3 linked regions of the Saccharomyces cerevisiae S288C genome follow. Changing the gene in region 2 together with the main gene of any one other region gives a genetic interaction. Each region holds a gene or a part of one and is shown on either strand. Other genes may lie near its edges. The genes, in order: HSP32, ECM19 and CRS1.

Region 1 (11,764 bases), on a different chromosome or scaffold from region 2:
ACAAATTACATCAGGAACCTTATTATTACATATTAACGAAATTTTGAGAAAAAGAGATCTATCATTCCAGTTTCTCTTTCATCGAGGTGATGTATTACAATGTTTATATAACTTGCAATGACATTGTCTCGACACCATATCAAATACAAGTTAACAACCGTTCTCCAAACAAAGTGAAACGCTGCCGTAAGCAGCGGCAGTGAACTACGTATGCAAAAAAAGATCGGGGTGCGAAAAACTTTTGCCAAGAGAAAAACTAAACGCAACATAAAAAAAAAAAAAAAAAGAAACTTGCGCCCCTACAGTATTAAAGATAAAAGATATTAGGAGGACAGAAAAAAAAAAAAAAATTCTTTTAAGAAATCTATGGTCTTAGCTCTCGAAGAATCCATTGACCACTGTTTAGATAGAGAATGCGATTCCATCGTCAAGGTATCTCAGCCATCATAGGCGTACTACTCATTGTACTGCTTGGTTTCTGTTGGAAGTTATCTGGATCTTACGGCATAGTATCAACTGCCCTACCACACAATCAATCTGCAATTAAAAGCACAGACTTACCTTCTATACGATGGGATAATTACCATGAGTTCGTCAGAGACATTGATTTTGATAACAGTACGGCTATCTTTAATTCCATTCGGGCTGCTTTAAGACAGTCTCCATCGGATATACATCCTGTCGGAGTATCTTATTTTCCCGCTGTAATTCCCAAAGGAACTTTAATGTACCATGCCGGATCAAAAGTGCCAACTACCTTCGAATGGCTAGCTATGGACCATGAATTCAGCTACTCTTTCGGCTTGAGGTCACCATCCTATGGGAGAAAATCTTTGGAAAGAAGGCATGGGAGGTTCGGCAATGGCACCAACGGTGATCATCCAAAAGGGCCACCACCACCACCACCACCACCAGACGAAAAAGGTCGGGGTTCACAAAAAATGCTTACTTATAGAGCAGCACGGGACCTCAACAAATTTCTCTATCTTGATGGGGCTTCTGCTGCGAAAACTGACTCAGGAGAGATGGACACGCAGCTAATGTTGTCAAATGTTATTAAAGAGAAATTGAACCTTACAGATGATGGTGAAAACGAACGAATGGCCGAACGACTCTACGCTGCTAGAATATGCAAATGGGGGAAGCCATTCGGGCTTGACGGAATTATCAGGGTAGAGGTTGGCTTTGAGGTCGTTTTGTGTGATTTTTCGGCTGATAACGTCGAACTTGTTTCAATGTTAGAAATGGTCCAGCCTAACCAGTACCTAGGCTTACCAGCACCTACCGTAATATCGAAGGAAGAAGGTTGGCCTCTGGATGAAAATGGAAGCCTAGTTGAAGATCAGCTAACAGATGACCAAAAGGCGATTCTGGAAAGAGAAGATGGTTGGGAGAAGGCTTTTTCTAATTTCAACGCAGTTAAAAGCTTCAATCAGTTGAGAGCGGGTGCAGCGCATGACAACGGGGAGCATCGAATCCATATCGACTATAGGTACCTAGTGAGCGGGATAAACAGGACGTACATTGCTCCTGATCCTAACAACAGAAGATTACTCGATGAAGGAATGACATGGGAAAAGCAATTGGACATGGTAGATGACTTAGAAAAGGCGCTGGAAGTCGGATTTGATGCCACGCAAAGTATGGATTGGCAGTTAGCATTTGATGAGCTTGTCCTTAAATTTGCTCCATTACTAAAATCTGTTAGTAACATACTGAACAGCGATGGTGATATTAATGAGTCAATTGCCATCAATGCAACAGCACTCACATTGAACTTTTGTCTACCAATATGTGAGCCCATACCAGGCCTTAAAAACGGATGCAGACTTTTTGATTTGGTCATCTGCTGTCAGCGTTGTCGGAGAAATTGTTGATGTCATTTATAAAGTGAATGATTTATTGATACCCGAAGTCTACTCTTTTATGACAGATAACACAACTTCCAGCGACTTAATAAAGAATGTCGAAACGGCTCGCTCCACTATCGATGGTTTAATTGAATCTCTAGGGTGGATTGAACTAAATTACCGTTGTGAGAGGCAATGCAATTGGGATGAAGTTTGTTACACTCCTTCCTGGGGCCCATCTCCAATGGGTATGACTGAACCAGGTTCCCACAATGAGGGATTTGGAACCCACTTTGATGAATCTCGACAAAGGTTGGTTATTAACAGTAAACTACAGTGTATCAATATAAATGATTTGATGGTTAATCGTAATCATTAGCGCCTCATGTGAGCAGGCCATTGTGGGACAGTATGAAGGGTATGATTTCTAGATAATCCAATAATAATTATGAAGTTTTTGAGATTTGGGGTGATACACATCTATGAATTACTAAGAGATTTGAGACACAGCGACAGTCATGCCAGCAAGATTTAAGATTTTCTTTATTTAGTGTTTATATACATATCAGATATCTGTTGAGTATTTTCTATTTTACCAAAAAAAAAAGATATGAAATCAAGATAAAACGTCGTATGAAAGACAAGGGAGCTCAGCAGCAATATCATAAAGTAAAGCAACAGCGCTTGGTTCATGTACAATGAACGATCTGAAAATTATTTGGCAGCGGTGCTACGAATACATGTCGATATTACGTTACGATTGTCTAACAGGGGAGGAGAATCGTGCACTTTGATGGGTATATCGAAAAGATGGTGACTCTGCTAGAGTCACTGTCAGTGAGGAGTTGCGATGTATGAAAGATTCACTGACATAAAGTGGCGCGATTCATGTAGCAGTGTAAATCACTTTTGACGCAATGATGGAAGAGATACGGAAGAGATACGGAAAAAATAAAACAAAAAACAACTGAAATAAGTACTAAAGGATTATATTTATTGCCGCCATTATTATTTAGCGTCTGGTGGCTCAAGAATCTGCAGTTATTTAATTATTTAATCGAGCGTGTAATGCTCTGATGATTTTCAATCCGGTCATATCAAATCACAAGTTGAGCCATTATATTCATGTTTTTTGTACATTCACCACGTTCTGCATATTAGGTACTGAAACACGTCAGGCTATAACGGCGCTTTCCACCTACACTCCGGCCTTCGTTACTGCTCCGACCGTTCTCTGGTCTAATTGTTCATCCTGCATGCTAATGGGGATTATGCAATCTTTAAATGCTTACACTTGGATGAAAGATCACCAAGTCTTGTTTTTAGGTGTAACTACTGGGTACTGTGGTGCCCTGTCTTCCTTTTCTAGTATGCTGCTAGAGATGTTCGAACACTCTACAAACTTAACTAACGGTAATATCGCTAACCACACAAAACTGCCGAACAGAGCTTACGGTATAATGGAGTTTTTATCTGTCTTGCTCGTTCATCTTATGGTTTCCATGGGTAGTCTTATTTTCGGTAGGCAACTTGGTAAGGAGGTTATTGTTGCTTATGGATCTAGTTCGTTTTCGAAGCCATATACCCCTCCCTCAGACACTGTAAAGGAAAATGCTGGTGATGTTGATACACAAGAAATGGAAAAAAATATTCTAGAGTTTAAATTCAAAACTCCAGCACCATTTTTTAAGAAATTTTTTGATGTTGTGGATAAACTCGCGTACGCACTAGCTTTTCCATTAATTATTTTGTTTGTGGTGCTGTGTGCGTATTATGAGAACTATTCGAGGGGCAAGTGGACACTACCATGTCTATTTGGAATTTTCGCTGGTTTCCTAAGATATTGGTTGGCAGAAATGTTTAATAAAACAAACAAAAAGTTTCCATTGGGTACTTTCTTGGCAAACGTTTTCGCCACTTTATTGATTGGCATATTTACCATGGTGCAACGTGGTAAAAAACACTTTTCCACGGATATTCCAATTGTGAACTCGTTGAATTCATGCCATATTGTTTCTGCGTTAATATCCGGATTTTGCGGCACTTTGAGTACCATTAGCACGTTTATCAATGAAGGGTATAAGCTATCATTTATTAACATGCTTATTTATTATACTGTTTCGATTGGAATTTCATATTGCTTATTGGTGATAACTCTCGGATCCTATGCTTGGACTAGAGGATTGACTAACCCGATTTGTTAGGATCTTTTCTTCATACCTTTTCCTGCACAATCATCCCACCTTTTTTTTTTTTTAATTCATTTTCAAGATTTTAGACGTTGTATAATACATTTTTACCGACTACTGCGGTTTATTGTAATATTTTGTGAGATTTTATGAATGCGTTCCATCATCTATTTACTACAAAACGATAAATTTCCCCGTTTTCTTTTACTTTTACTTCATTTAATATAATTCATATTTATTTCCTATGTACCAATTAATTACTTCTAAAAAGAACAGAAATAGAAAAAAGTTGTATATAACAAGCCAAAAAAAAGAAAAAAAAAGGAAAAAAAAGAAAACACAGCTTATTTCAAATTGCAATCTGCGTATTTCGTAAGTAACGAATGATCTCACAGCATTGCTTTTTTTTTTTTTATATATATATGTACATTACCTATGTCACATATGACCATGATGAGTACAACACTAAAAACCAAGGCCTACTATTCAATTGTTCTCTATATGATTTCCATTCTAGCAAAATCGAGTGCTACCGACCTGCCGTTTTCTTTACCTTTCGAACCATTGAGCTGTTAGCCTTCTCTTCACAGAAACTGAAAGCCATTAGAAGCCTCCCCTTCAACAATTCCCTTGTCTTTTGTTTCAGCTATATAATGCGTTTATAGCTCTAATTGTGGTCGAATAGGAAGAATTTGCGTTAACACCCGTAACTAGCTTTCCATCTGTAATAGAGTAGTCATCCCAGGGATGGATTGGCGCCAAGTACTTGGCTCCATTCTTGTTTGCAACGCGTTCAACCGTTGTCAATTTTCTGCTCCTCAAGATGTCGTCAACTCCCAGGGCGATTTCACCCTCGAGTGGGAAACCTGTTATAGCTTTGCCTTCGATTAATGGTCTTGTTGTTTTGATATCTATTAATCCATCGAAAAGGAGCGGTCCATGACAGATGGCAGCGATCACACCCCCATTGGCATATATCTTGGATGCAATATCTTGCAGATTTTTAGCTTTGGGATAGTCAAATAGAGCACCATGTCCAGCAGATGCAAAGAATATTTTATAGTCGCTGGCGTTGACTTCATTTGCGGTCTTGATCCTCGCTAACGCCTTATTGAAGGCGGAATTTTTCGTTTCAAAGTTCATCTTATCTTCGCCACCAATAAAGCTCTTTGGCAAGTAATGTTCATCCCAGCCAAATCCACCAGTCTCAGAAACGAAGTCCACTTCGAAACCATGCTTTTCGAAAGTATCGAACGACCGCAAAATCTCAACTACAAAAACGCCTGTTTTCGCACCATCTTTATAGAAGGGACCGTGGTATGAAGTAAGAGATATTAGCGCTCTTTTTGGAGTCATTGCAAGGCCAGTTTTCTTTTTGAATGAAGGAGAAAAGTGTTCTAGAAATATGTTTTAGTTCTAAGTATCGTTGTCTGGAGCAAGCAAAGAAAAGCAGACCTGTATGTGCAACTTTCCTCTTTTCCATTAAAATCTCAAGAACCGGCCCCTTGACTGTGCTCATATATCAAGTATCGGTTTTAAAGTCCCCTAATTGTGATAATTGCAAGAACAACAGTCAAAAAGATATTTTTCTTTTCTTTCTTTTTACCTATCCTTCATGAAAATACCTATGCTGATACTGAATATCTTCATTTGCAGCTATGCAATATTTCAGATACCCCATTTTACCCAAGAGTTTCTTACTGGTGGTTGGATTTTCTTTAAGACGAGAAGATTACCAGTCCTGGATGTTCGTGAATGTGCCTATTGCGTCATCAGCGACTCCGCGCCAAGAAAAGAAATACTCGCATGCTCGGATTTATAGAATCGCATAATGGAAATACCTTCCTTAAAGGATGGAGATAAGGAAAAAATGACAAGAACAAGGAAGTACTTGGGAGCTTTCTCCGACATGGTAAATATTTGAAACTCACGCAGCTCTCCTGGAAAGTTGGATCTGGAAAGGTAAGGTTGTTTTTTTTACAGACATCAACCAAAATCGGTTCTTGTAGTAGACAATGTCACAGATCGCCACAAGTTGAAAAAAAAGTTTCGATGAACTGGATAAGGGGAGAGGTCACAAACAAAGTGTAGGGGGTGAGTAGTATAGTGGTAACTTGTTCATTTACCTAAATAACATTCTCACTAGAAAAGAGATATTGAAAGACTCCTCGTTTACCTAACTTGGCTGGTTCTTAGGTATATAATAGAAACATGGATCTGGCAGGTTATCACTTACAGTTTGCACTCCCACCAGGTTACAATTTTCATTATATATAGTTATTTTTTACCACCACTTCTTCTTCTTTCACTTTGTCTTGCAATAGAAATACCAAAACAAGGTGAGGAAAAAATCGAATCTCAACGATAAAAATATGTCCATCACGAAGGTACATGCTAGAACGGTGTATGATTCTCGCGGCAATCCGACTGTTGAGGTTGAAATTACAACAGAGAATGGTCTCTTCAGAGCGATCGTCCCATCTGGTGCCTCCACCGGCATTCACGAAGCTGTTGAACTTAGAGACGGGAACAAGTCCGAATGGATGGGAAAAGGGGTGACCAAGGCAGTCAGTAACGTCAATAGTATCATAGGGCCTGCTTTAATCAAGTCCGAATTATGTGTAACCAATCAGAAGGGCATAGACGAGCTCATGATATCGTTAGACGGAACTTCTAACAAGTCAAGGTTGGGCGCCAATGCTATCCTTGGTGTTTCCTTGTGCGTTGCTCGAGCTGCTGCCGCACAAAAGGGAATTACTCTCTACAAGTATATAGCCGAGTTAGCGGATGCTAGACAGGACCCCTTTGTTATTCCTGTTCCTTTTTTCAATGTTTTGAATGGTGGAGCCCACGCCGGTGGCTCTTTAGCTATGCAAGAATTCAAGATCGCGCCAGTCGGGGCTCAGAGCTTTGCAGAAGCCATGAGGATGGGTTCGGAAGTTTACCATCATTTGAAGATATTGGCGAAGGAGCAATATGGACCTTCCGCTGGAAATGTTGGTGACGAGGGTGGAGTTGCCCCCGATATTGACACTGCCGAAGACGCCTTGGACATGATTGTGGAAGCCATTAACATATGCGGTTACGAGGGTAGAGTGAAAGTAGGAATCGATAGTGCTCCTTCTGTTTTTTATAAGGACGGGAAATACGACCTAAATTTCAAGGAACCGAACTCTGACCCATCTCACTGGCTCAGTCCAGCCCAGTTAGCAGAATATTACCATTCATTGCTAAAGAAATACCCAATCATTTCCCTGGAAGATCCCTACGCCGAAGATGATTGGTCCTCGTGGTCTGCCTTCCTAAAGACTGTCAATGTTCAGATTATTGCAGATGACCTGACATGCACCAACAAGACCAGGATCGCCCGTGCTATAGAGGAGAAATGTGCGAATACTCTGTTGCTGAAACTCAACCAGATCGGTACTCTGACTGAGTCTATTGAAGCCGCCAATCAGGCTTTCGATGCTGGATGGGGTGTAATGATATCGCATAGATCAGGTGAAACCGAAGATCCGTTTATCGCTGATTTGGTCGTTGGTTTAAGATGTGGTCAAATTAAATCGGGCGCTTTGTCGAGATCAGAAAGACTGGCCAAGTATAATGAACTTTTGCGTATCGAAGAGGAACTGGGGGACGATTGTATATATGCTGGTCATAGGTTTCATGATGGAAACAAACTATAAAGGATTGTCTTGTTTCCTTTTTTTTTTTTTTTTTTTTTGTTTTTTTATGACTAAATAAAGTAAATCATATGAGGTTTTATTTTTTATTTCGTTGATTTGGGTTACAGTATGGAAATGGGGCATTTGACACAAGTTATTTTATTCATATGTTTTATCTTGTAGGAAATCAAACCGTTTTTAAAGTTTTCCATTGCCTACACACAAAATCATTACGAATCTGTCTGAACAAGGGTGGACGTGTGGGGGAAGGCTGTTCCAATCAAGAAATGCTTACAACTCTACTAACACTGCAGTTTTTCAGCTTTCTGATTAATCTCTTCGGTTTAAATTTTTTAGCAGCTATTACTTTCTAGTAACCCTTATAACGCGGTTGGTATCAAATCTTCCTGATAGTACAAGCAGACCTTTGACCCCATTCTTGTTGTGTCTTGAAATCTTTTTTTCTGACAAAAGTAAGAAGTTACACCATAATAGAGAAGTTAAATAATGAAAGTGTATCGATCATAGAAATGATTTTATTTTTTTCAACTACTGTTACGGTCAAGAAACTAATACTGAGGATAAGTTTTCGCAACAATGATTTTGGTACAAGTGATTTAAAGTCTTGAATTACTTCAACACAATTTGCTTTGCGACGGTTTAGAATAACGTAATCGTATCAACGAATCCACTAGGCGCGCGTAAAAATTACAGACTCTAACAATATACGACTCCCAGCACATACCTACTATTCTGTACAATTCCGGGAAATAGGAGGGTACAGTATTATTTTTTCTCGGCGATCGTTTAGGGTATACTGGAGATAGGCTTAGCAATACGCTTCTGAACGAGGATCTATAGCAACTAAATTCAGACATTCTGCTATACCAAAAAAGGAAGTATCACAGGCACGGAAAAGGGTTTTATAAGGCACCTCGGCACCCCTATAACTGGCATTCTCACATTCGGCGCATACGAATAGACAAAGGCCCCAGAAAACAATACCTTCGCATACAGAATCTATAAAGATGCATGCCTCGTTTAAAAACAAAAACATCTTCATAGTGATCATGAAGTTGTGGGAAAGATGAGATATGGAGAATATGTGAAGTGCTAAAGGAGCATCTGTTAACGAATCGTTTAAGTGGTGATGACCAATGAAGGAATAGGTATAAATAGAGATACTTCAACTATATGCCTTCGAGAATATGTCTTTATTCATTTCTTTCCTGTTAAGCTTATATCAGCACTAACAAACAAAACAAATACAATGGTCAAATTAACTTCAATCGCTGCTGGTGTTGCCGCTATCGCTGCCGGTGTTGCCGCTGCTCCAGCCACTACCACTCTATCTCCATCTGACGAAAGAGTCAACTTGGTCGAATTGGGTGTTTACGTCTCCGATATCAGAGCTCATTTGGCTCAATACTACTTGTTTCAAGCAGCTCATCCAACAGAGACCTACCCAGTTGAGATTGCTGAAGCTGTTTTCAACTATGGTGACTTCACCACCATGTTGACTGGTATTCCAGCTGAACAAGTCACCAGAGTCATCACTGGTGTCCCATGGTACTCTACCAGATTGAGACCGGCTATCTCCAGTGCTCTATCTAAGGACGGTATCTACACTGCTATTCCAAAATAGAGAGAAGCTTTTACGAACGAAATTCCATAGACATTAAAAAGTAAAGAAAATGAAATAAAATATGTTATTCTATTGATATAAATACAATTTCTCATATGTAAATGTATATTAATATGACAACTCATTTTTGATCAATAACAGTGTTTGTGGAGTATTTTCTCAATACAATAAACCCAAAATAGAAACTTCTCTTTTGCGTCACTGTTCTGGAAAAGGGTGCATGGTAATAAAGCTAATAGGGTATGTCCAATAAGCAATACTGAACTTGGAAATGTGCGGCTTCGCAGCCTTTTGTCTTTCTATAAAAATGTGTCCTTCCTTTTTTTCATTTTTTGGCGCGTCGCCTCGGGGTCGTTTATAGAATATGCGTCACTTTTAAAAATAAGATTGCAGATCAGGGCAAAACAAGTAGCAAGTCATAGCAAGAGACCCTGATTTTTGTGACATAAATATTATTATTTCTTTGTTAGGTTAGTTTTTTATGTAACTGTAACTGGAATAGAGTTGAGGGGATAGCGCCCACATGTGTGTGAGCCACTACCGTATTATTGCTCGGTGAATAAAGAGTGTCACAACAATGGGATGACATAATATTCTAATGTGAAGTCTGTGTAAGTACGAAATATTCTGAAGTGGCATCCGTTCAAGCAAATGGGAATATTAAGGAACTTTTACGTTAATGACGTCATGGTAGTGCTCGTACTTCAAGTCAATATGTTTATGTATTATTGTTGAAGAATGGAATATTTTTATGTTTAGGTGATTTTGATGGTGATTTTTTGGTTATATTAACATAAGTGTATATAAATTAAGTGGTTAGTATACGGTGTAAAAGTGGTATAACGTATGTATTAAGAGCAGTTATACAATATTTGGGGCCGCCGAATGAGATATAGATATTAAAATGTGGATAATCGTGGGAGTTATGCGTAAATGGCACAGGGTATAGACCGCTGAGGCAAGTGCCGTTAATAATGATGTGAGTGCATTTAGTACTGATGAAGTGAGAGATGGGCCATGGAGTGGAATGTGAGAGTAGGGTAACTTGAGATGATATATACTGTAGCATCCGTGTGCGTATGCCATATCAGTATACAAGTGAGGGTGGATACGGCATGTGGTGGTAGGGTAAGTATATGTGTATTATTTACGATCATTTGTTAACGTTTCAACATGGTGGGTAGAACAACAGTATGGTGAGTAGCGGATGATGGATGGTAGGGTAATAGTAGGGTAAGTGGTGGTGGAGTTGGATATGGGTAATTGGAGGGTAACGGTTATGATGGGCGGTGGATGGTAGTAGTAAGTAGAGAGATGGATGGTGGTTGGGAGTGGTATGGTTGAGTGAGACAGGGTAACGAGTGGAGAGGTAGGGTAATGGAGGGTAAGTTGAGAGACAGGTTCATCATATATATGTCACTGTATTGCATGCTGGATGGTGTTAGACAAGGCCGTAGGGACATATAGCATCTAGGAAGTAACCTTGTACGAAAATAGGCAATATTTCCTGTTTAGGCGATTGTGACGCAGATTTTAGTCCAACGATCTAGCGTCAAGGAATTTTTTTATAGTGGGACATTGCACCAAGGAAGTAACTTGATACGTCGTGGGTGAATGGGTCTGTTTTCTTATTCGGCGGGGTAATACATTTTTGGGGGAAGTTTGTCTGTCTGACGCGCCATATGTAGGTACGCCAAAAAGGGCTCCTCTACTTCGAAGCGCGAGGTCGTATACCTAATAAGGAAATGTAATTTATAACTTTCTATTATATTGGTCTTTTCGAGAGCGGAAGAAGTTGTAGGCTAAGCGCAGGCTAAGCGTAGGTCCATATTTAAAGTATCCAAGAGAATATCCACGAAGCGGCTGAGCAACGAACAGAATCCTGGTTCTCCTCGACTAAGCAGATAGTTAAGATACTGTGCACCATGGAAATTGAAAACGAACGTACGTACCGACTACTTTATTTTTGCAGGCCGGAAATCAAGCGATGAATGAGACATCCTTCTGCTTTCTATGTTGTGCTTGAAGGGGACAGACAGTCGCTTATCTTAGTGAGATTTCTTACTAACTGAATTTACTTTGCTGCTGCTAGAGATTTGCACCTGCATAGCGCAGATTCTGCATCTTCTCAATAGCTTAATTATTACATTCTTAGATGATGATAAGACGGAAACTGGACAATCTTTTGTTTATATTGATGGATTTCTTGTCAAAAAGCATAACAATCAACATACTATTGTTAATTTCGAAACTTACAAAAATAAAATGAAAGTTTCCGATAGGCGTAAGTTTGAAAAAGCAAACTTTGACGAGTTTGAGTCGGCTCTAAATAACAAAAACGACTTGGTACATTGTCCCTCAATAACTTTATTTGAATCGATCCCCACGGAAGTGCGGTCATTCTACGAAGACGAA
Region 2 (7,632 bases):
TAATCCTTTTCCAAGCATTTTGCCAATGATGAAACTGTGGAAGATGGGCTACCAGCTTGCTTAAACTTGAAGGTAGCATTAGAGATATCTTGCAGTTCATTGAATATCCATTTTTGAGGTAGTGAGTTTTTCAACATTTCAATATACTGGAAGATCAAGACAATAACATCGCGATAGTGTGTCAACCCGTTGTCTGTTAAATCTATATCGACAGCAAAAAAAGCATTTCCTTTGGACACAGTATGCCCACCAGCAGATAGCTCATTGGCCCAGCCCAATTTTTTCAAATGTGCTAGTAATGAACCGGACCCTTCATGGCCGATTAAATGACTTAATATCCTCGGTGGCTTGGACTCCCAATGTTCCTCCATATCAGGGACAGTGAAAGAGATTTCTAGTTTTTTCAAATCTTTCACAGGACGGACTTGAATTATTTTTTGCAAATGCTCAGGCTGCATAATAGGTTCCGCATAAAGGGGTACTTCACGACCGTTATTGGCTACATCCTTGAAGAGATCATAAGTCCAATCAGAGAGAGTATCAAGGTCTTCTCTACCAAGAATACATAGCTTCATTAGGTTAGCGGAGTAAAAATTCTTATGGAATTTTAACAGTTCATCTCTAACATTTAGTCCATTTTCCTTTGGCAATGTGCCCAAAGTTTCGATGTTTCCTGTAGAAAATTTGTGATATGGATGTTTTGTATTGGTCAAAGACTTGTCTAATTGGTAAATTCTCCAAATATCATTCTGTAAGTTCTTTTTGTTTTCGCTGTTAACGGCGTTGATCTCTTTATCAGTAGAGTCCTTGTTGAAAAGAGGACAAGAGAAAAACCCTGAAAACCTGTCTAGCGCACCAAATAAATGTTGGTGATTAACCTCAAAAAAATAATTTGTGTTTTGCGATGCTGTGTAGGCATTGGATGAACCACCGTGCTTGCTTAAATAGCTCGAGTATTCGTTTTCGTCTGGAAATTTCTCAGAGCCCATGAATAAAAGATGCTCGCAGAAATGCGCCAATCCAGGTAGGTTCTTTGGATCTTCAAAGGCGCCAATATTGACGTCTAGCGACGCTGCTGCTTTATCTGCTTTTGGGTCCTGGATCAACAGAGCCTTCAGCTTATTAGGTAGCTCAATAAACCGATACGATCTTTCGTCTAAATCCGGCTTTAAAAAGTCCAGATTGAATGTCTTAAAATTGGATGTCATATTATAAGGATTTGTTGTGTAATAGCGTGATAAGCACGTGAATGGCTTGAAGCGTCTTACGGTGAAATTGAGACTGATAGGTGAGAGGTGAACCAATTGAGTGAGGAGTGGTTTAGTTACAAATGCAGAAGAAGAAGCTAAAAGAGATACGCCCATACAGAGCAATATCAAAATGAGCAAGAATGAGGTCTTCCGAATGGTTGGTTCTGACTTACTATTTGATTTCACTTTCTCTGATTCATTCAGGAAGAAAAGGGCGAAGTCCTCGAAATGAAAATTTCAACATCATTAACAGACCGGCGCGCGCCTTTACAATTTAGTATGTACGCCACCAATAAAAGCTGCTTAAACAATAAGCTAGAAAGCCCAAAGGGTGTTAAATAGTACAGCGAACCCTTCAGCAACGGTACATCAACAACCCCTTGAAAAGAATAGAGACAATACAGCTACAGTCATCCCCTTCTCTTGTATTTTTGGCCACAATTGATTGTATTACATCATATTTTGCCTGTGCGCTTCTTCTATCTTTTCCGCATAAACTAGGGGAAACGCGATGAAGAAATGGATTGGCTGAAAAATACAACAATTGTAGTGTTATTCAGTCATTCAACTGACAAAAGTAACAAACACAAGAAACGTCAAGTCCAGTGCAATATGCGAAAGAACACTTTAGATATGGTCACTATAGGTATCGCATGCCTTGTGGGAGTCTACACGGGCACGAGATTTTTCGAGCCCATTGTTATCGATAGATTGCGTAAGGATGGAAACTTGAGAACGGACATTCCCATCCCAGAATACGACGAGGACGGAAATCTGTTAAAGGTCACGCCGTCTTTATCATCCACACCAGCTGCACCACCTACACCACCTACACCTCCTACTCCACCACAACAGTAAGGAAGCGTACTAGAAAATACCTCTATACTTTCTTTTCCTGTATATAGCATCAATAGTAAAGCCATTATAACGTTACAAAAACCTATTACCCGGAAAATTACTATTTATAGAAGCATTGGACCCATGCACCACATGCATTAGGACCCATTATTTCTTTTTTACAATTTTTCCGTTAATTTTTCACGAATTTTTCACCGTTTATAAACACTCTCGAACTTATAAACAAAGGGATGATAAATAGATTTCGCCAGTTGTTAATACACACAGGGTCAAAGCTCACAGCACTACTACACTCGTTCAACACTCGTTATATATTATCATGCGTGCCACCACTTTATTATCTTCAGTCGTTTCTTTGGCATTGTTGTCGAAGGAAGTCTTAGCAACACCTCCAGCTTGTTTATTGGCCTGTGTTGCGCAAGTCGGCAAATCCTCTTCCACATGTGACTCTTTGAATCAAGTCACCTGTTACTGTGAACACGAAAACTCCGCCGTCAAGAAATGTCTAGACTCCATCTGCCCAAACAATGACGCTGATGCTGCTTATTCTGCTTTCAAGAGTTCTTGTTCCGAACAAAATGCTTCATTGGGCGATTCCAGCAGCAGTGCCTCCTCATCCGCTTCTTCATCCAGCAAGGCCTCTTCTTCTACCAAGGCTTCTTCCAGTAGCGCTTCCTCCTCTACCAAGGCTTCTTCCAGTAGCGCTTCCTCCTCTACTAAAGCTTCTTCCAGCAGCGCTGCCCCATCTTCTAGCAAGGCTTCTTCCACCGAATCCTCTTCTTCCTCTTCTTCTTCCACCAAGGCTCCTTCCAGTGAAGAATCCTCTTCCACTTATGTCTCTTCGAGCAAGCAAGCTTCCTCCACTAGCGAGGCTCACTCTTCCAGTGCTGCCTCTTCGACCGTGTCCCAAGAAACAGTCTCCTCTGCTCTACCAACTTCTACCGCCGTTATTTCTACTTTCTCTGAAGGTTCTGGTAATGTTCTAGAGGCAGGAAAATCCGTTTTCATTGCTGCTGTTGCCGCTATGTTAATCTAATTATCTATCACTTTATTTCTAATGGGTTAAGGTATCTATCTTTTATATTTCTTATTTCCTCTTCTTATATGATGCGGATGATTTTATTTCTTCAAAAAACATTTTAAAACTCCTCTTTATTTCGTTATGTTCCAGTTCACTACGACTTCTTTTCTCTTAAAGAGCAAATAAAAGTATATAAATCTATATTAAATGAAAATCAAAAAAATATTTTTTCGATCAGCTCCTTGTTCTTTTCATTTCAAAGTTTTTTACATTGTTACACATGTGCATGAATATATATGTTTGCAGAATATTTTTGGCGACGCTTAACTCGCCATTTCAGTATATGTCGGTGGCGGTACATATCTGGGCAGAGCTTCAGCTTCAACGTGCTCTCTAACTTGACAAAAGATCTGAACAGGATCAATGTTTACTTCAGATTGCTTCCTAATTCCATTGATTCCCCATTCTATCAGTAGCTGTAAACTGAATGTTCTTTTTATCGTGCATGTCTTGAAACTATACAACCTATTGCCGCGATGTCTATAGTCTTCTTCATTAAATACCAACTTTCTTAAAATGGGGTGATCCTTTAACCGTAATTCACATTCAAACATAGAACCATCAAAATTTTCTCGTATTTCGTTTAAGTCCAAAAGAGGTTTATTGGATTTGAGCTGATTCAAATCAATCTCGATTAGCTTCAAAGAAGAGTAATTGCCGTTCGCTATTCCCTGAGATAAATATGTTGTAGTCTCTAGCAAGTTCAGTTGTAGTTTAAGTGGGGTAATTTGCATTTTGCTCAAACTTGCTATATTCCCCTCCATGACTACATAGACCTTGTCAAAATTTTGGCTGCCAGACCTAAACAAGTAGTCTTTCCTGTATATTTGCTTCAAATCTCGACTTCTAACCTCTATTCTCATATTGCTTTCCCCATCAGGCAACCCCATTTTATAAGTAGATGGGAAAACTTTCATACCATTTACTAGGCGAGTAGATTGTCTTGTTGATGTGACTGATGATACCGGTCTCGATCTAATGTCGCCGTTTTCTATCAATATAGAATTAGCTTGAGAAAAGTTCCTGTCACTTTTTATATATCCGACTCCATTAACGACTTTGACGTCCTTTGATGGCACCTTTAAATTTGAACTATTGAAAAATTCATTGTTGGTGACCATACTATTTCCTCTACTATTGTTACTGAAGGCATTAAGTTCTTCATTGTCATCTTCATCAGGTTCTATAATAAGATCTTTTGGCTCAGGTATAAATTCGAACGTCTCGATTTCCCTTATCAGTTTATGGAATGGCTTAAACCAAGATGAAGATTTCCCTAGCTCTAATTGAACTTGCACCATATATATAACTTTTCCAAAAGAGTAAAAATACAAATCCAGATTATCGATTTTATTAAATTCTTGCCAATGACTATTGAACGTAGGTGGGAGTCGGGCATTACTTCTTGTCACAAACGCTACTGTCTTTGCCGTATGATTTTTCAGACATTCAGGCTTTCTGGGAAACTTGTCAAATTGAAAGCTATAATTATATGAACCTGGTTTAACTTTGAACGGCTTGGAGGAGCCATCAAGAGCATTCCATACATTATCTGGAGGGAAAACTCTCTGTTCGAATTTCATTAATGTATGAAAGGATTTGTTGTCTTGGCCCGGCATCATCATGCCATTCTGTTGAAACATGTACTCTTGATCAATTTTTGTTAAGGTCTCTGAGAATCCTTTTAGAATGACGGAAATTTTCCTTATAGATAGCGCTTTTGTTAACTGAAGACTAACTATCCCTGACATTTGATCATTAGAGCTATAAAACTCCCCGTTGTACGGTGGGTTTAAGGATATTGAAATTTTTGGAGCCATGGTTTGACAAACTGTATGGTTCTCAACCTTCTCTAATCAAAAGCAGAATCTTAAATATAAACACTCACAGAATATCCGTTGGTCAATGAAGTAATTCTCCTTTGTACTGGCTGCTTTTTCTCCTCTAGTTTATGTAATTCTACTTTTGGATGGGTGCGACTGCTTTTAATTGATTGAGTGGCGGTGTTAGAAGGGCTGTAGAGTCGAAGGCTTGTTTCTCTCTTACGCACCTCTTGTGAAAAGGGCGTGCACCTTCCCCAGGACCCTCTCTCACCCTCAACCCGCATTTTGCTGAGAATTTTCACCAAGGCCCTAGGTGATATTAGATTCCACCTGACTAATTGCATTACAGCCGACCCAAGGCAATATCAGTTTAATAAAATATCATGTATCTCACCCTCTTCTTGGTATTAGTAAAGAGACGCCTGATCTTGTAACAGTGGTGAAGATTGTACTAGAGCAGAATCAAGAATTTAAAAAGTGTAAAGGCAAGGCAGAGGCGATGTACATAAAACTTCGAAGTAAGAAATATTTAATAGTTCTCGCCACATCACTATGCAGCTATATAAAAACTACTATAAACGTTTGTTTTGTTCCTTACGCACAATATCCTTGCCTAGAAATCGTTTTTGAAATTTAAATTTTTATTACCATTTATTTGATTCGCCTTCAGAAAAATATGGAAGAGTGCATATTTAAAAAGGACTATTTCAGCATATAGTAAAAGTCAGGTTATTTGTTTATTTGCGATATCAGAGTAACTTAAACTAACTATGCAGGGCACTTTTAAAAGGTTTTACCATCCCACGCTTACGCGGATGTCCTTCTTGGATAAATTCCTCAAGCCTATGATGGCAACGGCTTCCCCAAAGGAATACCAGATCAAACAACTGGTCAAGCCAATAGGCTTAACACAAGCACCAAGGAAAAGCACCAAATACTCCCAGGGGAACTCTTTGAGGGATATGTTTGATTCGGAAAAGACAAACCACAGAGTTAAAGAGTTGGCCGTTGAATTCAGCAAATCTGGACTTTATGACGTGCAAGTCTTCCAAAAGACAAAGGGGAAATTGTTTATAGCTCCAGTTTCATATTGGAAAGAAGATAAAGCTTTGTTTTTTCCTCATTTGATAGGAACGGCAATGGATGGTACGAAACAACAGAATATCGAGGATATGTTAAGGGGTAAAACCAGTATAGTGAGGTTATTTAGTACAGCATCTGGCGATAAGTTGAGTAGTTCATACTTCCAAGGAATCGTAGACGATAACAAAAAAACTGACTACTTGACTGAAGCTGATGCGCGTTTAAGTTTAAATGACAGTAACGTCCAAATCATCGAGGTCAATCTTGTAGAAAACGCTGTGAAAAGTGCTCTAGTGAAAACGCTTGCTCGTTGGGCCAATCGCGTTCCATCCTGGCGCCAGCCATTTTATTTCGAATGTTCTAGAGGCCAATGGCCATTTTCCGTCAGGGAAGAGCTCTTTTGCAATAATGTCTTTTCTGGATACGTCTTTCTTGTGGACCAGCAGTTAAAAATTAGGTGGGCAGCTTGCGGGGAGGCTACTCCATCTGAAAAGGAAGCATTGTGGAAGTTTGCCAAACGTCTGTGAAGTTGACGCTTTGTGCGGCGGCCAACAAGGGATGGGCGGCTATTTGGCGATCGTGTTCATTCCCCAAACTAACACGAAGAGCATGAGAGAGAAAAAACAAAAGTGCTTGAAACAGGTAAGACGTTTATCATTGATATCACCAAAGAAATATATAATGCCGGATTCTATTTTTGAACAGCCCTTTGTTTACTGTGGTGTTTGCCACAGAAGAACATCGCATGGAGATCCATTGAGGCTGACCTCATGTGCTCATATCCTCTGTTCGCAGCATTCTCCATTAACATCAAAGGTGTGTCCTATATGCCGTTCGAGCGATATCTCCATCATTAACCTTGTGGAATCTAAACAGCTGCCTACCGACATTAGGATTTTTTTTGAGCCACTGCCCCCACTTTTGGAGTCGTTATATAATGTTTCCCAATTCCAACTGAATGGGCTTTCGAAACAGTGTCAATACTATCAAAATCATTGTTTAAAGTTGAGAGAAAAATGTGCAAGACAACAGCAGCTGCTATATCAGGCCAAAATAGAGTTGGATTCTATGGCGATTCTTAAGAAAAGAATACAGGAATTAGAGTCAGTTTTGAATCATAACAATGTTTCTTCGATGTCAGTTGGTGTGCTACCAACAAGAAATAGCCATCAAAATCATTACCAGCCCCCTCCAACCGTTGATCTGACAGTTGATGATAATAGTTTAGAAGAATTCGAAGCCAAATCCTTTATTAAAAAGTTGAAAAAAAACTCTTCTTTGAGAAATTCTTCAAAAAATAACAATGGAACTGTCACTCCCTCTACAAGTGGTCGTGTAAATAAAAACCAGCCTCTCTTTATGGAGACATTGAATAATCCTAATAGAAATAGCATTCCTCCTCCTGGAATGAACCCAAACGCAAATAGTAATCTACCTAATATTTCGACTATTGCAGAATCAACCAATCTGAACAGATTTTCGTTCTCTCCTGTGCGTGTTGCAAAAGGCTTCGATGGAAAGTTGCCAAATCTTGACA
Region 3 (6,536 bases), on a different chromosome or scaffold from region 2:
CGCCGTGCGGGAACTCCTTCCCGGGTTTTAGGCCGGTCCATCTGAACCAGCCAAATATGGTTTTCATTCCCTGTCTGTACTTTTTTTTACCCTCTGGACTGCGTTTGTCTTTGATCAAGTCCGGGTTTATCGAGTCGTAACTCTGGGGCCACTCAATTGGAACGGGCTCACTAGTCAGTATCCCGTCTTCTTGGTCATCTTTGCCTTTTTTGATTTGGAACACCTTGGTGACTTGCTGCTCTTTGAAGTCTCCCTCAATTCCATGGAAATGGAATGTTATACTAAAATCTCTAGTGTCGTACATTTCAGACTCCAATGCCAGCCATTCTACTTTGATCTTATCTATAGTGTCAATGTATTTAAAATCTGAAGCCCTTATGTAATTCGCAAAACTAACGTGTTGTGAAAGCACAATTTTCCAGAACTCTGCAATTTCGTCAATATACGCGTCCCTCTTTTCATAAACAGGCTTCATTTTGTTCAATCTGTATAATTCTACCTCACGTTCAATAGCGTCCACTTCTTCTTCGCATTTAGCCAATCCTAAGAATGCTTTTGCACTGACCATCTACCGCACTTGCTAAGTGCATATTGTTAGTATAATGGGTTGCTTTATTTTTCCATTTCATGCCCTGCAGAGCTCAATCCTACATACTGCTCGTTCTCGTTTTCTTGGTCACTCATCATTGGCAGTGTTATGCTTCGAAATGTTTGTCGTCAACATCAAGCGCCTAATCATTAGGATGCTTTTCTTCCCTTTTCTCACAAGCGCAGTGTTTGATTTTTTCAATTTTTTCCGCCTGGAATTTTTTCACATTCCAAAATGAAAAGTACATATATAATACAATTAATTATATTAGTTTTTTCTTTCCTCCTTTCCTTTTTCACTATTTTAACGTAAAAAAAGATGGTATATACATATATACGTACTTTTGAATAGTTGCACACATAACGAAGCCACGAGTATTCTATTTGTCTTCACCAAAGTACTCTTCATGTAGCTTCTTTTGTTGTTCCCATTGCTTCTTCAACTTCTTGGTCATACTCTTGGTGATATCATTACCGTCTTTGTCCTTTGTTGGAAGGCCTTGCTCGTCCCAAGCACTGTACAATGTGACATCCTTGAACATATCTTGTGGTTTAATTTGAGCTTTCTGCTTCCTCTCGTTTTCCTTCTGCTCTCTTAATTTCTGCTGTTCCAATTTCTTTTGTTTCTTTGCTAGTTCGTTGGCATGTTTCTCCTCGTTTAGCTTGACAATTTCCAATTTTTCATCGTTAGTCAAAAATTTGATCAAGGCAGATTGTCCATTCCTATCATCCAAGGCAACATTCAAGTTTAGCAAATCTTCGTTTCTAATTTTATCCGTTAATTGCAAGAATTCCTTGGGTTCGGCTTTCTTGATAGCTAAGGAACGTACATCATCTCTAAATGTGGATAAACACTTAACATATGGCATAACAGTGTCTTCCAATGAGCCTAGGGATCCATCGTTGGAGCCAGCTTGGGCTGCCCAACCCAAATTGTCAGGACGGGATGGAAATCCAATTATTCTTAAGATTTTGGTGATGTAGCTACAGATAGCAATCAAGGGCTCAATTTTTAAAGCAGCACCTGCAGTGGTAATGTATGTGTTTGACTTGGTCACTAATTCGCTCAGTGTCTTCAAAGCAACAGGTGTGGATAAATTATCACAGAACGCCGAATGGACTTTCGATTCACTTTCAACAAAATCAGCCAATAATTCTTTCTCTAAGGGACTAAACTTTTTAGAGATATGACCTGCAGAAGCTGCATCGTTCTTCAATGCTCTAATAGTCTTAAAAAAATTGTTCATGGAGTTTTCAAATGACTTTACTTCATGGATCAAAGATTCCTTGAAATCCAATTGATTGTTCCATTGTACTGAGGCAAAAGCCAATCTTAATTGGCGCGGTGAGAATTTTTTCAAAGCTTCTTGAATGGTAATGAAATTCTTTAAGGATTTAGACATTTTTTGACCCTCAATATGTAAATGGCCCGTATGTAAGAAATAGTTGATCCACTGTTGATTGTCGAAGCGAGCCTCGGATTGAGCCAATTCGTTATCATGGTGAGGAAAGGCCAAATCGATGCCACCTGAATGAATATCGATGTTAGAGCCTAGGATATCACTGGCCATCACAGAACATTCAATATGCCATCCTGGTCTACCCTTACCCCATGGTGATTCCCACTCAGGTTCACCTGCCTTGGAAGCCTTCCATAAAGCAAAATCATTATTCGACTTTTTTCCGTTATCAGCAAAGTTGCTTAAGGACCCTTCACCATCATTAATTAAGTCTAACTGGCCCTTATTCCATGGCTGGCATTTAGCATAGTCATGATTTGGGGATTTGTCAAATTTTAAAGTATCAAAGTACACGGAACCGTCGGAAGTGGCATATGCGTAACCATTATCAATAATTTTTTGAACAAAGTCAATAATTTCTGGAACGTACTCAGAAACACGAGTTGTAACGGTGGGAGGTAGCACGTTTAATGATAACATGTCATCATTGAATTTCTGTTCCCAGTAAGCTGGAAGTTGGCGGAAAATCTCTGGATTGCTAATGGTAGAGCCCAATTCTTTATCCAATAGAGGAACCGTAACGTCCTTGACTTTTTCAAAGGCAACTTCTGCGTCCATGGAATCGCCCTTAGTGATTGATTCAATAGCATTTTGAACTGCGGTGACATGCATAGGGAATTTAGGATTCTCCAATTTTAAAGTTTCAGTATCAGCATTCGATAACCAAGTTTCAAATTCTTCGATAGTTTTGATCTCGCTGCCTTGAATAGTAAAATTTTTGTTGATATATTGGAAAAGTGCGGTTTTGACCTTGTCAACAACAGTGGCGTTGAATTTGGTATCATTTTCTTTGACAAAATTGTCAAATAAATAGTTTTGTCTAGCTCTCAAAATAATTTTATCGTCGATATCAGTAACATTTTGCACAAATTGCACGTCGTAACCAAAATAATCTTGAATAATTCTTCTATTGATATCAATAGAGACATAGTTTCTGGCATGACCCATATGGGAGGCATCGTAAACAGTAGGACCGCAAGAGTACCAAGTGACACCTCTATTGCCAGATTGCGGAATGAATTCAACCTTAGATCTTGTTAAACTGTTGTACAACTTCAACACAGTTTCTTTAGCTTGTGGCGTTGGAACCTTCCATTTGGGCTGCACAATCTTCGGCGTAGACATTATAGTATATCTTCTCAGGGCTTTTATGAAGATATTCATGCATAGAATAAGAACTTGACCGGACACCTAATCACCGACGCCAATTAGCAATACTGTTCTTTTCAATTGATAATGTCTTTTGACTCTTCGCGATGAAAAATGTTTGCGGTCACCCGCGCTGAAAATTTTTTATTGCGATGAGCTGAAATTTTCCATCTCATTTTTAATAGTAAGTATTCTTGCATGAACACTAATGATATTAGGAGGGCTTTTTAAGTTGCTACCACTATTGCAGTCGTTATCAACCTTTTGCACTTTATCTAGTAATGTCCGTGAAAAGGTCTGTTTCTGAAATCGAAATTGAAAGTGTTCAAGATCAACCCTCTGTTGCCGTGGGAAGTTTCTTCAAGGGCTTCCGTGCTCCCAGTGACACTACGTTCGACTTATACAAAAAAAAGAAGTCTGAAAAGGACGAATTCGTATTACACGGTGAAAACGAGAGACTAGAATACGAAGGTTATACTGATTCTTCTTCCCAAGCTTCGAACCAGTATGTTGTGGGCCTATTTAATCCAGAAAAGAAAAGTATTCAACTCTACAAGGCTCCCGTACTTGTTTCCAAAGTTGTATCCAAGTCAAGCAAGAATCTAAGGGGTCCAAAAATAAAAAGTAAGAGTGATACTCGTCCATCTGCTTTGAGAAATGCGTTGGGTGAAGCGTTTGGTACTAAAAAGGCTAAAAAAGCTATTGCAGATCTAGAAAGAAACCGTATTGACTCTGATAAGTTGACTGATTCTGCTATTGACATTGTGGATTCCGTGAGAACTGCATCTAAGGATTTACCAACTCGGGCTCAATTGGATGAAATTACTTCCAACGATAGACCTACTCCATTAGCCAATATCGATGCCACTGATGTAGAACAAATTTACCCAATTGAAAGTATAATACCAAAGAAGGAATTACAGTTTATTCGCGTTTCATCAATTCTGAAAGAAGCGGATAAGGAAAAGAAGTTGGAATTGTTCCCATACCAAAACAATTCCAAGTATGTGGCAAAGAAATTGGACTCTTTGACACAACCTTCACAAATGACCAAATTACAGCTACTATACTACTTATCACTATTACTGGGCGTATACGAAAATAGACGCGTGAATAACAAGACGAAGTTGTTAGAAAGGTTGAACAGTCCTCCTGAAATCTTGGTAGATGGTATCTTAAGCAGATTTACCGTGATAAAGCCTGGACAGTTTGGAAGATCAAAGGATCGCTCCTATTTCATTGACCCACAAAATGAAGATAAAATCTTATGCTACATCTTGGCAATCATAATGCATTTGGATAACTTCATTGTTGAAATCACACCCTTAGCACACGAATTGAACTTGAAACCTTCCAAAGTTGTCAGTTTGTTCAGGGTACTTGGTGCTATTGTCAAAGGTGCCACAGTGGCTCAAGCTGAGGCTTTTGGCATTCCAAAAAGTACTGCAGCTTCTTATAAAATTGCCACTATGAAAGTTCCATTTAAGCTACCTGAAATGACAAGAAGAGGAAGAGGTCCAAGACGTTAGAGTTACCTAGAGGTATATACTGAGCATTTGGTTTGCTCTGGTTTTTTTTTTTGCTAGATGGTTCTATAAAGCAGCAAAATATAAGACGGTCCTCCTGATGAGAGGAAGAGAAAAACAAAAATAACTACATAGATATACGCTATTTTTTCTGAGAAGATACATATGTACAAATAGATATTTTACAATAATTTTAAACTTCGCAATAAATTCAATATTAATTCATAGCGTAGTTCGGCTTTCTAGCACCTTAGTAAGCTGAAATTTAAAAATGTATCAGTTTATTTTTTTCAATAAAGGTAACTTTAAATGAGAAACCAACGTGTTATATAGGTGAAATCATGAATAGCAGTCTGCAAGTTGGCATCGGAATTGATGTAGGTTCATCAAGTGCTAGAATAGGTGTATATAATTACTACAATGATGCGCTGTTAGAAATGGCGCAGGAACCAGTCCCATACTACCAGGATTCTTCAAAGAAGTCATGGAAATTCTGGCAAAAATCAACTGAAATAATTAAAGCCCTTCAAAAGTGTCTTCAGAAACTGAACATTAGAGAATATGAGGTAAAGTCATGTGGTGTTTCTGCAACGTGTTCATTAGCTATTTTCGAAAGGGATCGCACAAGTAACATGCTGATACCGTATCCAAATGAAGATAATGTCATATTTTGGATGGACTCTTCTGCCGTAAACGAATGTCAATGGCTAAATATGCAATGTCCACAACAGCTTTTGGATTATTTGGGAGGAAAATTTGTACCCGAAATGGGCGTCCCCAAATTGAAGTACTTTTTAGATGAATACTCTCATTTACGAGACAAACATTTTCATATCTTTGATCTTCATCAATACATTGCTTATGAACTGAGCCGCTTGTATGAATGGAACATTGAAGGACTTTTGGGAAGAGAAAATCTTAATGGTATAGGCAATGATGGAGAGGTATCTGGCTGGTCATCTTCATTTTACAAAAACATTATAAATTTACCATCTAATGTAAGCATTGGAACCACTAGTCTTGTTGCCAATAAGCACATTTCGACAACTGTAGTTCGCAGTTGTATTGACAGTTATGCAAGTTGGTTCGCAGTTGCTTCTCCTCATTTGGAAACATCATTGTTTATGATAGCCGGGACTTCTAGCTGCTACATGTATGGTACTACCATCTCTGATACTAGAATTCCTGGAGTATGGGGACCTTTTGATACTATACTTGACAACAGGGGTGATTTTTCTGTTTATGCTGCGGGCCAGTCGTGTACTGGTAAATTAATTGAACATTTATTTGAGAGTCATCCATGTGCCAGGAAAATTCTGAAAGATGGTGCTGATATCTATCAAGTACTCGAACAAACCATTCGTGACATTGAGAAGAACAATGGTCTCTCAATTCATATTCTTACGAAAGATATGTTTTTCTACGGTGATTACGAGGGAAATAGGACTCCTTTTGCAGATCCACGGATAAAGGGTTCTTTCATTGGCGAGTCCACCGATACATCAATGTTGAATCTTACATATAAATATATTTGTATCTTGGAATTTTTATCATTTCAGACAAAATTGATAATTGATACATTTCAAAATGAAAATTCAAATATACATATCAAAGAGTTAAGGATATCTGGTAGTCAAGCGAAAAATGAAAGACTATTATCATTGATTTCCTTGGTTAACAACGGTGTAGCAATAATTAAACCTAAAGAGAATGTCGATATGATGGGTATCAAAGGTGCTTACGTGCTTGCTAA

What was found.
Region 1: mutations in ECM19 (region 2) and HSP32 together harm fitness more than expected from each alone (negative genetic interaction), as found in Saccharomyces cerevisiae (one large-scale study listed by BioGRID).
Region 3: mutations in ECM19 (region 2) and CRS1 together harm fitness more than expected from each alone (negative genetic interaction), as found in Saccharomyces cerevisiae (one large-scale study listed by BioGRID).

Annotation. Positions count from the first base shown.
Region 1 is NC_001148.4:5,518-17,281, reverse strand, and holds HSP32 (glutathione-independent methylglyoxalase family protein), read right to left. Parts: upstream 5,396-11,764; coding exon 4,682-5,395; downstream 1-4,681. Other genes in the region: YPL277C (uncharacterized protein), read left to right, coding at 414-1,877; YPL278C (uncharacterized protein), read left to right, coding at 1,927-2,229; FEX2 (fluoride transporter), read left to right, coding at 2,927-4,054; phosphopyruvate hydratase ERR2, read left to right, coding at 6,412-7,725; seripauperin PAU22, read left to right, coding at 8,855-9,349; YRF1-7 (Y' element ATP-dependent helicase protein 1 copy 7), read left to right, coding at 11,275-11,293, 11,442-11,764. UniProt on the Saccharomyces cerevisiae protein: Catalyzes the conversion of methylglyoxal (MG) to D-lactate in a single glutathione (GSH)-independent step. May play a role in detoxifying endogenously produced glyoxals. Involved in protection against reactive oxygen species (ROS).
Region 2 is NC_001144.5:901,297-908,928, forward strand, and holds ECM19 (Ecm19p), read left to right. Parts: upstream 1-1,769; coding exon 1,770-2,108; downstream 2,109-7,632. Other genes in the region: STE23 (metalloendopeptidase), read right to left, coding at 1-1,364; CCW14 (Ccw14p), read left to right, coding at 2,428-3,144; ART10 (Art10p), read right to left, coding at 3,453-5,009; ATP10 (Atp10p), read left to right, coding at 5,783-6,622; SUMO ligase CST9, read left to right, coding at 6,654-7,632. UniProt on the Saccharomyces cerevisiae protein: May be involved in cell wall organization and biogenesis.
Region 3 is NC_001146.8:179,611-186,146, reverse strand, and holds CRS1 (cysteine--tRNA ligase), read right to left. Parts: upstream 3,273-6,536; coding exon 969-3,272; downstream 1-968. Other genes in the region: VPS75 (Vps75p), read right to left, coding at 1-560, 656-687; DNA-directed RNA polymerase I subunit RPA49, read left to right, coding at 3,539-4,786; MPA43 (Mpa43p), read left to right, coding at 5,125-6,536.